2 linked regions of the Caenorhabditis elegans genome follow. The protein of the gene in region 2 purifies or fractionates together with the protein of the main gene of each other region. This does not show direct contact. Each region holds a gene or a part of one and is shown on either strand. Other genes may lie near its edges. The genes, in order: let-418 and lin-1.

The links.
Region 1: the proteins of lin-1 (region 2) and let-418 purify together in Caenorhabditis elegans (affinity purification with western blotting, with the first as the bait; one study listed by BioGRID). This does not show direct contact.

What each region holds. Positions count from the first base shown.
Region 1 is NC_003283.11:5,825,068-5,832,895, reverse strand, and holds let-418 (Protein let-418), read right to left. Parts: upstream 6,064-7,828; 5' UTR 6,036-6,063; coding exon 5,706-6,035; intron 5,637-5,705; coding exon 4,644-5,636; intron 4,596-4,643; coding exon 3,517-4,595; intron 3,466-3,516; coding exon 2,136-3,465; intron 2,065-2,135; coding exon 719-2,064; intron 668-718; coding exon 396-667; intron 342-395; coding exon 202-341; 3' UTR 65-201; downstream 1-64. UniProt on the Caenorhabditis elegans protein: Part of a NuRD (Nucleosome Remodeling and Deacetylase) complex which is implicated in the synMuv B pathway that negatively regulates specification of vulval cell fate.
Region 2 is NC_003282.8:2,297,071-2,302,118, forward strand, and holds the start of lin-1 (ETS domain-containing protein), read right to left. Parts: upstream 3,217-5,048; coding exon 3,193-3,216; intron 3,148-3,192; coding exon 3,060-3,147; intron 1-3,059.

The sequences.
Region 1 (7,828 bases), on a different chromosome or scaffold from region 2:
GTCAACGTGTTGATGGCGAGGCTGCTTAGATTCATGTGAACAAGTTAAGACGAAAAGATCAGGATTAAACGTTTACACAGATTCATGACGCAATTATTTGAATTGCATTTCAATTGATGCAACTAAAAAGAGAACAATAAATAATATAATGGTTTAAAGTTTGAAAAAATACAGTAAAACCCAATAAAATTAAAAAGACATTCAAGTTTCCATTGGTTCTGGCTCATCTGTTGGAGCTTGATCTTCGGCGGAAGCTGGTTCGGCGTCGGCAGCTGTTTCAGAACTGACAGCAGCAGCAGCGGAAGTAGATGGAACATCGTTGCTATCGTCGGAATTCACTTCTGGAAATAGAAATACATTGAGTTATTTTAAGATCCATATGAATTAGTACTAACCTGCACTAAGAACTGGCGGAGCTTCGGCGCTATCTTGAGTCTCATCATCTGGTTCTTGTTTTACACCTTCTTCCTCTTCTGCCTCTACTGGTTCATCCTCTTCCATCCTTTCTCCATTTTCAGACATGAATTTACTGTAAAGAGCTGCAAACTTTGGTTGAATGCCATCCATCTGCTGGCGAAGTATTGGAGTTACAAATGGTCCTGGTGGTGGAAGTACGCTACGGTTGGCTATCGCGTCCTCGTCTTTTGTGGTCAGTCGCGAAAGAATTCTGAAATATATATACATATATTGACTGAAGCTTTTACGAGTTAAAACTTACTGTCTCTCGGTCATGTTGAGACGTTCGGTGACAGTCGCTAACTGTGTAAAAGTAGATGGAAGTCTAGACACGTCGGCCTTCATATCGGAAAGTATTTCGTCGAGCTGAACCAATGTTTTGTGTAGAACGGCATTCGCATTACGATTTCCAGCAGAACTTTCTTTGGCGATATTAGCTTGAGATTCAGCAATATTCTCTAAATCCGCAAAACGTTGAGCCAATGGTCCAACATTATCCGGCTGCAAGTGACGATTGGCGTGTGCAGCGCGACGAAGTTGCTCCTCAATCACAAGGGACTGTTCAATAAGTTTGAAACGACGTTGCATAAACTTGGCTTTGATGTCAGATCCTGTTGCCTCAGCGCCAACTTCCTTGAATGGCTCATTGAGAACTGAGAATCTGGGATCATTGATGATGTCATTGAAATTAGCTTGGAAACGTCCATATCCGTGTACAACAACACCAGCTAAAAGCCAATAGTCGTGTCTGCGGTACCAGATTTCATATTCTTTTCCGTTTCTTGCAACTTTCTCTTCATTGGCCCACAAAGAGTGAAGTTCAGTGAATCCACCGTCACAAATGTTGAACTTGAATGATGGACGGGCTGCTCTTGGTTTCTCGGTTTCAATTGGTTCTTCTTTCGGTTCTTTGGCTTCATCTGTATCCATTGGTTCGTCAACAGGAGCGTTTTGTTCACTCTCAGCATCTGTAGCTGGCTCTGATGTAGCTCCGTTAACTGTTTCAGTAGCATCTTCCTTTTCCATTGGTTCTTCCTTCGGCTCTTCTTTTGGTTTCGGAGTACTTCTTGAAGATCCTTGTGCCGAACCATTGGCAGCTTTAGCGAGAACTTCGTCTTGTATTTCAGGCATAGACCATTGGCCATTATATTGCTCAAATTCTTGAACCTTCCGCCGAACTAAACTCAGCAATCCGATTCGGCCAAGAACATGCTGACGATTAAGACCTTCTCTTGGAACTCCATCATTAAAGGTATCATGACCATCAGCTCCAGGCTCACAGAGATGTCGCATGAACAGTGAAGCATAAGCTCGGAAGACTTTTTCCGATTTGTTTCTCAGATCTCGAACAAGCCATTGAGATTGATGAGAATCTTGTGGAGGCATTCCCCAGCGCATAACAGCCCCGTAGAACGCCTTGCGTTGACGTGGATTGAAACCAAGAATCTCAACTTGTCCATTGACTTTAGCCATGAGTGGAGGCATTTTTTCTTCATCACGACGCCGCTTTTTCTTCTCATCGTAATCATCTTCATCAGAGTTCAGGCCGTCGCCATTGTCCGAACCACGGTACGACTCGTTATCATCGTCATCATCTTGGGTTTGGTTCTGAAAAAAATCATTAAATGTTTAATCAGAAATTAATCAGAAAAACCCAATTAATCAGAAAAAAAACAAACCTGCTTGCTCCAATCAGTTCCCATATTCTCACTGGCATAGTTGATTTGTTTGCGAACACGTTTTCCCTTTCCAAGCTTTTGCAATTCGATTTCCCTGTCCTGTTCGTAGTGATGCTTGAGCAGCTTCTCCCAATAATCTGGATCTGGTTCTTTCTCATCTTCTTTAATCACTTCCGTTTCCTCTTCCTCCTCTTCTTCTTGTCCTTCAGTCTCTTTTGTCTGATAGCTGGCCACCTTGAACGAGCTTAGATATTCGTTTTGCCATTCAGCTTTTTCTTCGCCATCTTCTCCTGCTGGAGTCTCTTCTTTGTTACTGCGATCGAGAAGAGCATCTACAGCTGCATCATCCCAAACAATTTCTTGTGCGGCAGCACCTTTCTTCTCCGAGCCTTCGCCTTCGGCAGCATCAAGATCCTCACTGAATAACTCTTCGGTTCCCCATCGAAGCACATCGTCCAGCTCAGTCTTGCTCATTGTCTTTCCTTCTTTTCCTCCCAATCCTGCACGTACAACCAAGTGATTCAAAAGCATCTTCTTCTTGGCAACTGAAGTGATTTTTTCTTCGACAGATTTCTTTGTTACAAAACGATAAATCATAACTTTATGCTTCTGTCCGAGACGATGTGCACGAGAGAAAGCTTGAATATCATTGTGAGGATTCCAATCAGAATCATATATGATAACCGTATCAGCAGTTGCCAGATTGATACCAAGACCTCCAGCTCGAGTGGAGAGCAAGAAAATAAATTGTTGAGCTCCAGGAGCATTGTAACGATCGATAGCATCTTGTCTCATTTGTCCCATGATACTTCCATCTATTCTTTCATATCTGTATCCTTCATATTCACATAAATCTTCCATTATGTCCAGCATCCTTGTCATTTGTGAGAAGATAAGCACTCGGTGGCCACCATCCTTCAGCTTTCTCAACATTTTTTGAAGAAGAACAAACTTTCCGGAATTCTTGATGAGCGCCGTTCCTTCATACATTCCGTTTTTCTCTTTCGGAGCCTCCAACTCTGCCTTCACAAAAAGATATGGATGATTACAACATTTCTTCAATTCCATAAGGACGTTCATCAATGACATTTGAGTTCCTCCATTCTTCACATTCAATGCATCAAAATTGCGAGTCAGAATATTTTTATACCATTTTTTCTGCATAGCACTCAGTTCAACTCGAACAATTAATTCTGATTTCGATGGCATGCCAGTCAACACATCAGCTTTGAGACGGCGAAGCATGTGAGGTCCGAGCAAGTTATGAAGTTTTTCAATTTGATCCTCTTTGGAAATCTCATTGAATTCGGCAGTGAAAGCCTCGAGCTGACTGAAAAAATGCAATTAATAAAATAAAATACACAAAAATTCAGAAACTTACTTGAAACGTTCTTTGGACAAGAAATTGAGGAGATGGAAGAGCTCTTCTAAATTGTTTTGAAGTGGAGTTCCGGTGAGAAGTACGCGATAATGAATAGTATATTCATTGAGATTTTTGAAGAACAACGACTGATTATTCTTTAACCGATGAGCCTCATCAACAACAAGAGCTCCCCATTCAATGGAAGAAAGTATAGTTTTATCCATATTGATAGTCTCATAAGAAGTGAGCAACACGTGGAACTTCATATTCTCTGTCGTCTTCATTTTTGAAGCCTTCGGTCCGGATCGAACGGCACCTTCAACGAAAGAAAACTCATGTTCTCGGAGCACAACACGAGCATCTCTAAGACCAACATAAGTGACCACATAGAAATCAGGACACCATTGTTCAGCCTCACGCTCCCAATTGATAATAGTTGATAGAGGAGCGGCAATCAAAAATGGTCCTTTGCAATGGCCTTCCTTCATGAGACTGTATAAGAAAGTAAGCGATTGAACAGTCTTCCCAAGACCCATTTCATCAGCGAGAATCGCATCAGTTCCGTTGGACCAACAATGACGAAGCCAGTTAAGTCCTTCCAGTTGATATGGATGAAGTTTTCCTCCGGTTTCCGTAACGTAGTCGGGCTGAACTTCATATTTTTTACGGATGTCAATCTTCTCACGCTTCTTCTTTTTCTTTTCGTCTTCTTTTGGAGGAAGACCTTTAGCTTCGCGATGTTTAGCAATCATCTTCTGCACATTTTTAGGAATATCCTCATTTAATTTGCTCTCACGATGTTGCCAGTATTTAATGATTGCTTCTTCGTAATTGGCAATATTAGAATCATCTCGTTCCCAAGTGGCTTGATCATAGCTGAGCTCCTTCCACTTAACAAGGTAATCCTGCTGCGACTTTGCATATGATTGATGATTGATAATACGATGAATTTGCATCCATTCCGGTTTGATACCATACTGGTAGAACCGCTCGCGCAATTTATAAGGATCATTATCAGAATGATGACGAGACGTAACGGATTCTTCAAATTCTGGAGGAGCATCGGAATCATTTTTGCGCCAATATAGCAATATAAGCTGGAAAAATAAACATTAGTCAAATGGACTTCATCACTTAAAACTCACCATACGGAAATGAACTTCCAACAGCATTTCGGAGACCCAAGAACACTGCCAGTATGATAAATACTTCCATTTCACGAAGAATTCACGCTCACGTCTTGGTTCCATTTTCCGTGGTGGTTTGAGCATCGCATCGTCACTCGAAGCCTCTTTCCCAGCTTCGAGAGGTTCTGGATACGGGATTTCCTTCCATCTCCAGCAAAGGATTTTTTCGATTTTGTGTTCCGGCTTAACCGTCTCGCACCGTGGGCACGACCATGTTTCTTCTTTCGGAACTTCGGTAAGTGGAGGATCAATACAATATGCGTGGAATGAGCATACACAACTATCACAAAGCAGAAGATTCTCAGTTTCTTTGCAGATCTTGCAGAATTCATCGTTTTGCTTCGCCGGTTCTTCTTTAACTACTTCTGGGCCATGTTCGATACAATGAGCACAACTCCAATCACCCTCTGGTGGTTCTTCCATATTTTCATCAATACAGACTGTATGGTAAGCGCGGGGACAGGTGTCACAAAGAAGAAGTTCTCCATCTTGCTTGCACTCCTCACAGTAGTCATTATTTTCAGCTTCTTCGCCCTTTTCTAATTTTGCTTTTTTAGCGGCACGAGCAGCTTCCAATGCTCCTTTTTTCTTCTCTTCTCTTTCCGCTGCACGTTTGATACGAGCATCTTCCTTGTCTTTTACCAAATCGTCCTCCAGTTGTTCTTGTTGCTTAATAAATGCCTCAAACTCTTGATCACTATCAGGAGCATCGGAATCTCGACGCTTTCTCCTTGCAGAACGAGTCTTCGTTGGAGCTGATCGTGGAGGGATGACGGGTGTGGAAACTGCTGGAGTCTTTGAACCTCTAGCTTGTTTTTGAACAGGTTTTCCTTGGGCAGCCATGTGATCTTGATACTCTTTATATTTGACTTGGAACATCGGGTACATCTTGGATACGTTGGTTCCGGGGTTTGCCTCCAGTATTTGTGGCTTGATGATTGAGGAGAAAGTCTGTAAAAAAGATGTTTAATTGGAGGAAAACAGAAATCGAGATTTAAAAAATAAATTTTGAATAATCACCTTCAGATTAGAAATTCCTTGAAACTCCTCTTCATCATAATCAAATTCGACGTCTGTCAATCCGATAGCAGCACAAACTTCTTCACTTGTCGAATTATACGGATCAGGAATCTCAACCTTGCTAGCTGCGGCAGCACTCTTTTTGGATCCTTTTTTGCCTCCCTTTCCGCCTTTCTTTCTAGAAGAACGCTTTCGCTCAGATGGTCCAGCCTCATCGCCTTGCTCTTGTTCTTCCTCTTCTTCTGTTTCTTCAGTTGCGTCTTGAGTGACAGAACCCTCTTCCATTGATTCTTCCGCGTCCACTAAAGACGGATCTTCTTCAGTTGACATTGTTGAATTCTCAGGAGAAATACAATTTCTGAAAATTGATTAATATAAGTAAGACATAAATAATTGCAAGAAGGACATTATAAAGAGAACAAATTAGAAAGCTCGAATGCAAATCAGCAAAATTTGAAAGTGTGAAAAGTCTGCAAACACGGCGACGAAATAACACACAGAGTTGAGTGTAAATTTTGGGCTGATAGATTAAGCCTTAATTTTTTCTAAAAAACGTAGAAAATTTTGAAAATATTAAATTCCTAAAGTAGGAATTTAAATTTAAGCTCGTCAAGCTATTTTAAATTTTTTAAAATTTATTTTACAACCTACGTTTCAAGTTTTCTAAAATCTACCATCGAGAAAATGCAATTATTACAAGAAAAGTTAGAAAAAATAGCCGTATTCAAAAACATATTTCAAACAAATATTGATTCGAAACGGGACAATTTCATGTCCCCATATGTCCCATTTGACGAGACACTGCGGGGACATTGCAGAACGGGGACACAGCTCGTTGGGACGGTGGTCAGAGAAAGAGAGACGAGAGGAGAGTGATGGAAATTCGAATGACCCGTCTTCGCGCGTAAGAGTGACCAAATGCAGCGTCGTGTTTCCCGCAACGAAAATTATTAATACGTGGCATGTCCCTTTACTAATTTGAGTTGAGAATTATGTTGTTCACAGAAAATTAAAAACACGTTGGATTACGGATTAAAAAAAAAACTAGTAAATTAGATCTATTTCAGGATTCAAATCAGGTAAAAACTGTGAACCGTCCTGATAGAATTAAAATTTTGAATTAAAATTGGGAAAATTACGAGCAAATATTTATGACGATTTTAGAAATATACTTGTATACTTAGAAATATCAAATTGCGGAAATTGAGAGGAAACGCGAATCCAAAAAGCGAGCCAAAAAAAAATGAAAAAGAAAACATTTGAACAAAACGCATCTGCTGGCAATGGAGCGCACCTGCATAGCTCCCGAAAATAGGTTTCTTCTTCGGAACTTTACTAATTTTTAATTGAATCAGCATGTATATACAAATTCTTATACAAAGATATACAAATTCTTTTCAGAAACTAGGAAAACCTTAGAAAACAGGGAAAAAGCTAAAAAAAAAAGAACGGGACAGTAAACGTTAAGACGCACACACAACATTTTAAAATCAATGCACTTAGCGCGGCGAGACCCATTCGCATAAATGGACCTCCCTTGAAAGCGCAAAAGCGGAAAATGATTCAAATCGATGCACGGCAGTGAAGAAAAAGATCTAGAAGTTCAAAACACGTGTTTATGCGAGTTAAAAATAATTTAAAAGAAATAAAATGTTCATAATGTTTAAATCAAGGATAAACAAATTTACCTTGACCTTCTGAAAACGTGGCAATTTTAAATGATTGAATAACATTTAATATTTCGAATTAACAGTATAACGCTTTAGATTCGCCCTATTATAAGCTTCTAGAAATTATATCTTAACTTCTGAAAAAATTTCTCAAACTGCTAGATTTTCTACAAAATTGTAAAAGTGTAATTTGGAAAATAATGTTCGAAAACAGTGATATTACGGGAACACAGAATTTTGAGAATGCGTATTGCACAAGGCATTTGAAATAGAGCCCGTAAATCGCCATAAGAGCTACAGTAATCAGTTAAAGTGTTACTGTAGTTTTCGCTATGAGATACTTTCAAATATGTTGTGAAATACGCATTCTCAGAATTTTGTGTTGACATAATAGAGTACTCAAATGTCCAAACTTTAAAATGATATATCTGTCAACTTACCACAAATTTGGTA
Region 2 (5,048 bases):
TTAAGGGACGGTTTCAGGGCCTGATGCCTGCCTGAAACTTCAAACTTCAAATTTTATCATTTTTATCAATCTGTTAAAAATCAAAATAAGAATGAAAGAAGTTCACGAGAGGCAGGCAGAGGTTGCCTTAAAGTCAGGCAGGCAGGCGTTTTATCGCCTACGTGGAAGCCAGGGGTGTGCGGCAAATTTGCCGAATTTGCCGAATTTGCCGAGCACGGCAAATTTCAAAAAAGTAGATTTGCCGAATTTGCCGAATTTGCCGCACACGTCAAAAATTTGACAGTACAATTTTGACTAAAACTATTGATTTTTTAGCCAAAAATTTAGTAAAATGATACAAAATTGAGCTATTTTGATGCTTAAACAGACATACTACGCGGAACTTATTCAGAAACCAGATGTGTGTTAAGAATTCAGTAGTTTTGGTGCTCCAAAAAACATAAAAAAAATATCAAATTTTTCCGAGTTTGTTAAGCACGGCGAATTTGCCGAATTTGCCGAATTTGCCGAATTTGCCGAATTTGCCGTGCTCGGCAAATATTGAAAAAAGAGATTTGCCGAATTTACCGAGCTCGGCAAATTTTGAGATTTGCCGCACACCCCTGGTGGAAGCCCTAGGAGAGGCTACAGCAGTTATTCCAAAATTCTCAAGGTGGGTTCAAAAATTTCCTAAATTTTTCTCATGTCCTCAAAAAAAAGCAAATACACTACTAAAACTGAATCATGCACTACCAGATGCCTATCAGTCGCACCTTTTGATGACCTTCCCCCCTGGTTATCTCCAAAATGATGATCTCACAAAAATCCGTGAAGACGCAATAATATTTATGTTCCACCCTTCCACATCTTTCCGATATAACCTATCATTAGTACGGTTTTCTTGTTGGATAAAGAGGTTTCAGGGGCTGACAAAATATTTAATATGAATTGAGTAGAGGGGTTTTTCATATGATACTACCCTAAAAACATTCCGGATGACTGATCTTTTTAGGACCCCCACTTCACCCCATTCAAGCACCTCTTCTTTGTCGGCCATATATTCCGATCCGTCAATTTTGGTCGCAGATGACTTTAATCCGCAACTTCAGCTGCTCCGAAAGAGCACAACAACAATAACAACAGATAAGGAAGACAAGAGACCCGTAAATAGTGAAGAACAGATGCTAGTTGGGATGGTTTTAGGGGTAACAGTAAAGCATATATATCAAGAAAATTCAAAGGTATAGAAGAATATCAAAATGAGTGATTTTCACCCATTTGAAGATACTTTCAGAAAAATTGCAAAGCACGTAAAAATGCATTAAATTATTGGAGGACACTATTACAGACTCTGTGGCATAGTAAAGACAAAAGGTTGTATTTTATTCCAGCCATGTGTTTAATGTAACGTTTTGCAAATGGATATAAAAACAATAGTTCCAGTTATGAACCTTTAAAGCTCTAAACATTGTCATGTGGTTTGATTTAACTTGACTCTTCAACAAGAAGTATCTAAATATATAAACGTATCAAACACACACCCTCCCCTCCGACTTATTAATTGACACCATATGTCGTATGTATATATATACAAAAGTGATTGGGTGTGAAAATGCGGTAGAAATCAAACAAAAATGGGGGACCTGCGGTACTGTGAGGCGGAAATATGTATAGAGGGAGTTGGATTTATACCGAAAATTTCGTCTTGACAATTATTTTAGAATTGAATTTTATCGTGTTATTTTTTTTGAAAATTCTGCTCAAAGTTTTAAAAAATACCCTATGTTTTGGCAAAATTTAAGTCATTTTTCTCACAAATTTCTTGAAAATTCTACTCAAAAACTTGAGAAAAAAGAAACACCATACTAAATCATCAAATCATCATTAAAACCAAATACGGATTAGCTGCTCTACCCAAAGCGACACACATTCATCAATTCTTATCGGATTTTACCCGCAAAAACCAAAACTAAATTCAGAAAAAAAGAGAAAAAAGTGGCAGGGAGAGGAATCAGTAGTTGAGCATCAACCGACAGGTGGAAGAGCATGGTCGTTACGGTTTATTCAGCCGTCTGGCAGGAAGAACAAATTGGTTTGAAACTTGTTCTACTAGACTAGTTAGTAAAATATTTTGAGAATGTGCCAATAGCTCCACTTGCCACTATAGTAGAAAAGTATCATATTGTTCGAACATCCTTTCAACTTTACCAGTTGTCATTGTCATTGTCATTGTCATTGACTCGGTTGTCATTGGTTTTATCAGAAAATTGTCAACTGACAAAATGTTTGTCACATATTTTTTTAAAGTTTTCTAGTTTACTATATTTTGATATTTTTAAAATCAACTGAAATTAGAGCTTCTAAAGTGAGGAGGATTTAACATGGTGCATCAGCTCATATCTTGGTTGTCTTTTGATTTTATTTGAAATTGTCAACTAACAAAACATTTTTCAAATATTTTGCTATAATTTTTTCATTTTAAAATTACTAGCATTAAAATAAATAGAGATATAGGCTGTCCAACAAATTAACCTCAAATGAACCCACTTTGGCAGCTTATGCAACTTTATCAGTTGATATCTTGATTGACATTGGTTTTATCAGAAAATTGTCAACTAAAAAATTGTTTTTCACATATTTTTCTATAGTTTTGTATTTTACTATATGTTGATATTTTAAAAATGAACCGAAATATGTGCTCCTAAAGTGTAGAGGTTCAAACATGGTGCATAACTTTGTCACCACTTTCCTTGGCTATCTTTGGTTCTATCAAAAAACTTTTAACTAACAAAACAAATTTCATATGTTGTTCTATAACTTTGTAGTTACATATTTTTTCGTATCTTAAACATTAACCGAAATATAAACTGCCAAAGTTGCCCAATCAATGCACCATGTCCCCTAATTTTTCATTTCACATTTCGACTGTTCAAATCACAATAAGCAAATTGCCGAAAAATGTGAAATTTTTCATTCAAAATAAAAATCACTATCAGCAATTTTGAGCCAAACTTCATTGAGCACATTTGCTTTTAGTAGCAAGTGTGTTTTGCTCCAAATACTATAAAAAATAAACTAACTTCTTATATCCAAAATTCCCTCAATCGTATGTTTCGGAGATTCTTCTTCCTCGGCTTCTTCCGAACTCGACGGCGGCTCTTTTTTGACCTGCAAAAGAATACTATTTAGGAGTCATGAAGTCAGTGGACAAACCTTCAAAAGGTCAATGTGATTCATTTTCGTGTAAACTGTAGAGTGTCGGCGCTTTCTTTTGACCTGGAAAATGGTACGGGGTGGCGGCGGCTGATGAAAGATGACGTGGCAATGAGTGACGAGCTGGCTACTATTTTCAGTGACTCTATAGATAACAAGGGACGGGAGGGGGGCTGTAAAATGCGGAAATTTACAACACTTTTTGCTCACTTATTGTTGAATTGAATCTACATTATAAAAACACGATAATTTTAAGATATGAGCAAAACTTGCTGTCACTTTACGATCTCATGCCTACCTTATGCCTACTCTAGGCACCAGGCAGGCATAAAGGCCTACTGTACAATTCATAAAAAAAGAATGAAGTATGTGGAAAGTGGGACAATTATTAATATCTTCAAATTTTAATGCGTTGTGACACAAGACACAAGGGAAAAGTTTTAGTTTCAAAGGCCTAATTCCCTTGGCTAATACGATTTTAAACGGAAGAGGAGAGGTTTAATGTTAGAATAATTTAAAAGTTGAGGGAAATGGTTTAGTCTTAGATTTTTTTTAAAAGTAAAATCATATATTGGAAATCACAAAAGTTGGTCTGCTCAAAAGTTGTTTAAGTGTAATGAAGAATTTTTTTTTAGCTATTTGATAATTATTTTATAATACCTGCAATGTTTTTGTATGTCTTCTTACTTCAAAATAGCTCAAAATTGTCTGAAATTGCCCAAAAAACTCTTTGAAAACCCGCCAAACAACGTAGGAAACCGAAACTTGCTCGAGACTTAACTTTGAAAACTTGGTTGTTTTTGTCAACTGACAAAATATTGTACAATTATGCAATTAACATTATTAATCAATTTAAAACAAACCAAATTTTTTTCCACTTGCCAATATATAACTATTTTGGAAAATTAGAAAATCATCATATTAAACGAACATGGTGCATCGAAAAAAAACTTCAACTTTACCAGTTTATATTTCGGTTGTCATTGGTTTTATCAGAAAATTGTCAACTGACAAAATGTTTGTCACATATTTTTTTATAGTTTTCTAGTTTACTATATTTTGATATTTTTAAAATCAACTGAAATTAGAGCTTCTAAAGTGAGGAGGATTTAACTGCATAACTTTGACAGCTCATATCTTGGTTGTCTTTTGATTTTATTTGAAATTGACAACTAACAAAACATTTTTCAAATATTTTTCTATAATTTTCTCATTTTAAAATTACTAGCATTAAAATAAATAGAGATATAGGCTGTCCAAGAAGGAACGACATGGTGCATCAATTGAACCTCAAATGAACCCACTTTGGCAGCCTATGCAACTTTATCAGTTGACATCTTGATTGACATTGGTTTTATCAGAAAATTGCCAACTAAAAAATTGTTTTTCACATACCGTATATCTTCTATTAATATGGCCTCCCTATTAGACTTGCACTCCCTATTAGTATTGCCCCTCGGAGACCTTCCGAAAATTAGTATGGCACTCCCTATTAGTCTTGCACTCCCTAATAGCCTTGCGTTTACTCTTTTTTATTGCAGGCCCGTCTTGTTAACTTCAGGATTTCAACAAAAAAATTTGCCTATTTTGCAACAGTTTTTCACAACATTTCTACGAGATTGAAGTTTTTGAACTTATTATATATGTTACAATTAAAAGCAAATTTTCTGAATTTTTACATAAGATTCGAGCTTTTTCAGAAAAAAACTAGTAAGCTCAAAGTCAGAAAAATGTTCTGAAAATTAGTATTGCACTCCCTAATAGTCTTGCACTCCCTATTAGTATTGCAAGCGGGAAGACCATCGAAAAATAGTATTGCAGCCATATTAATAGAAGAAATACGGTATTTTTCTATA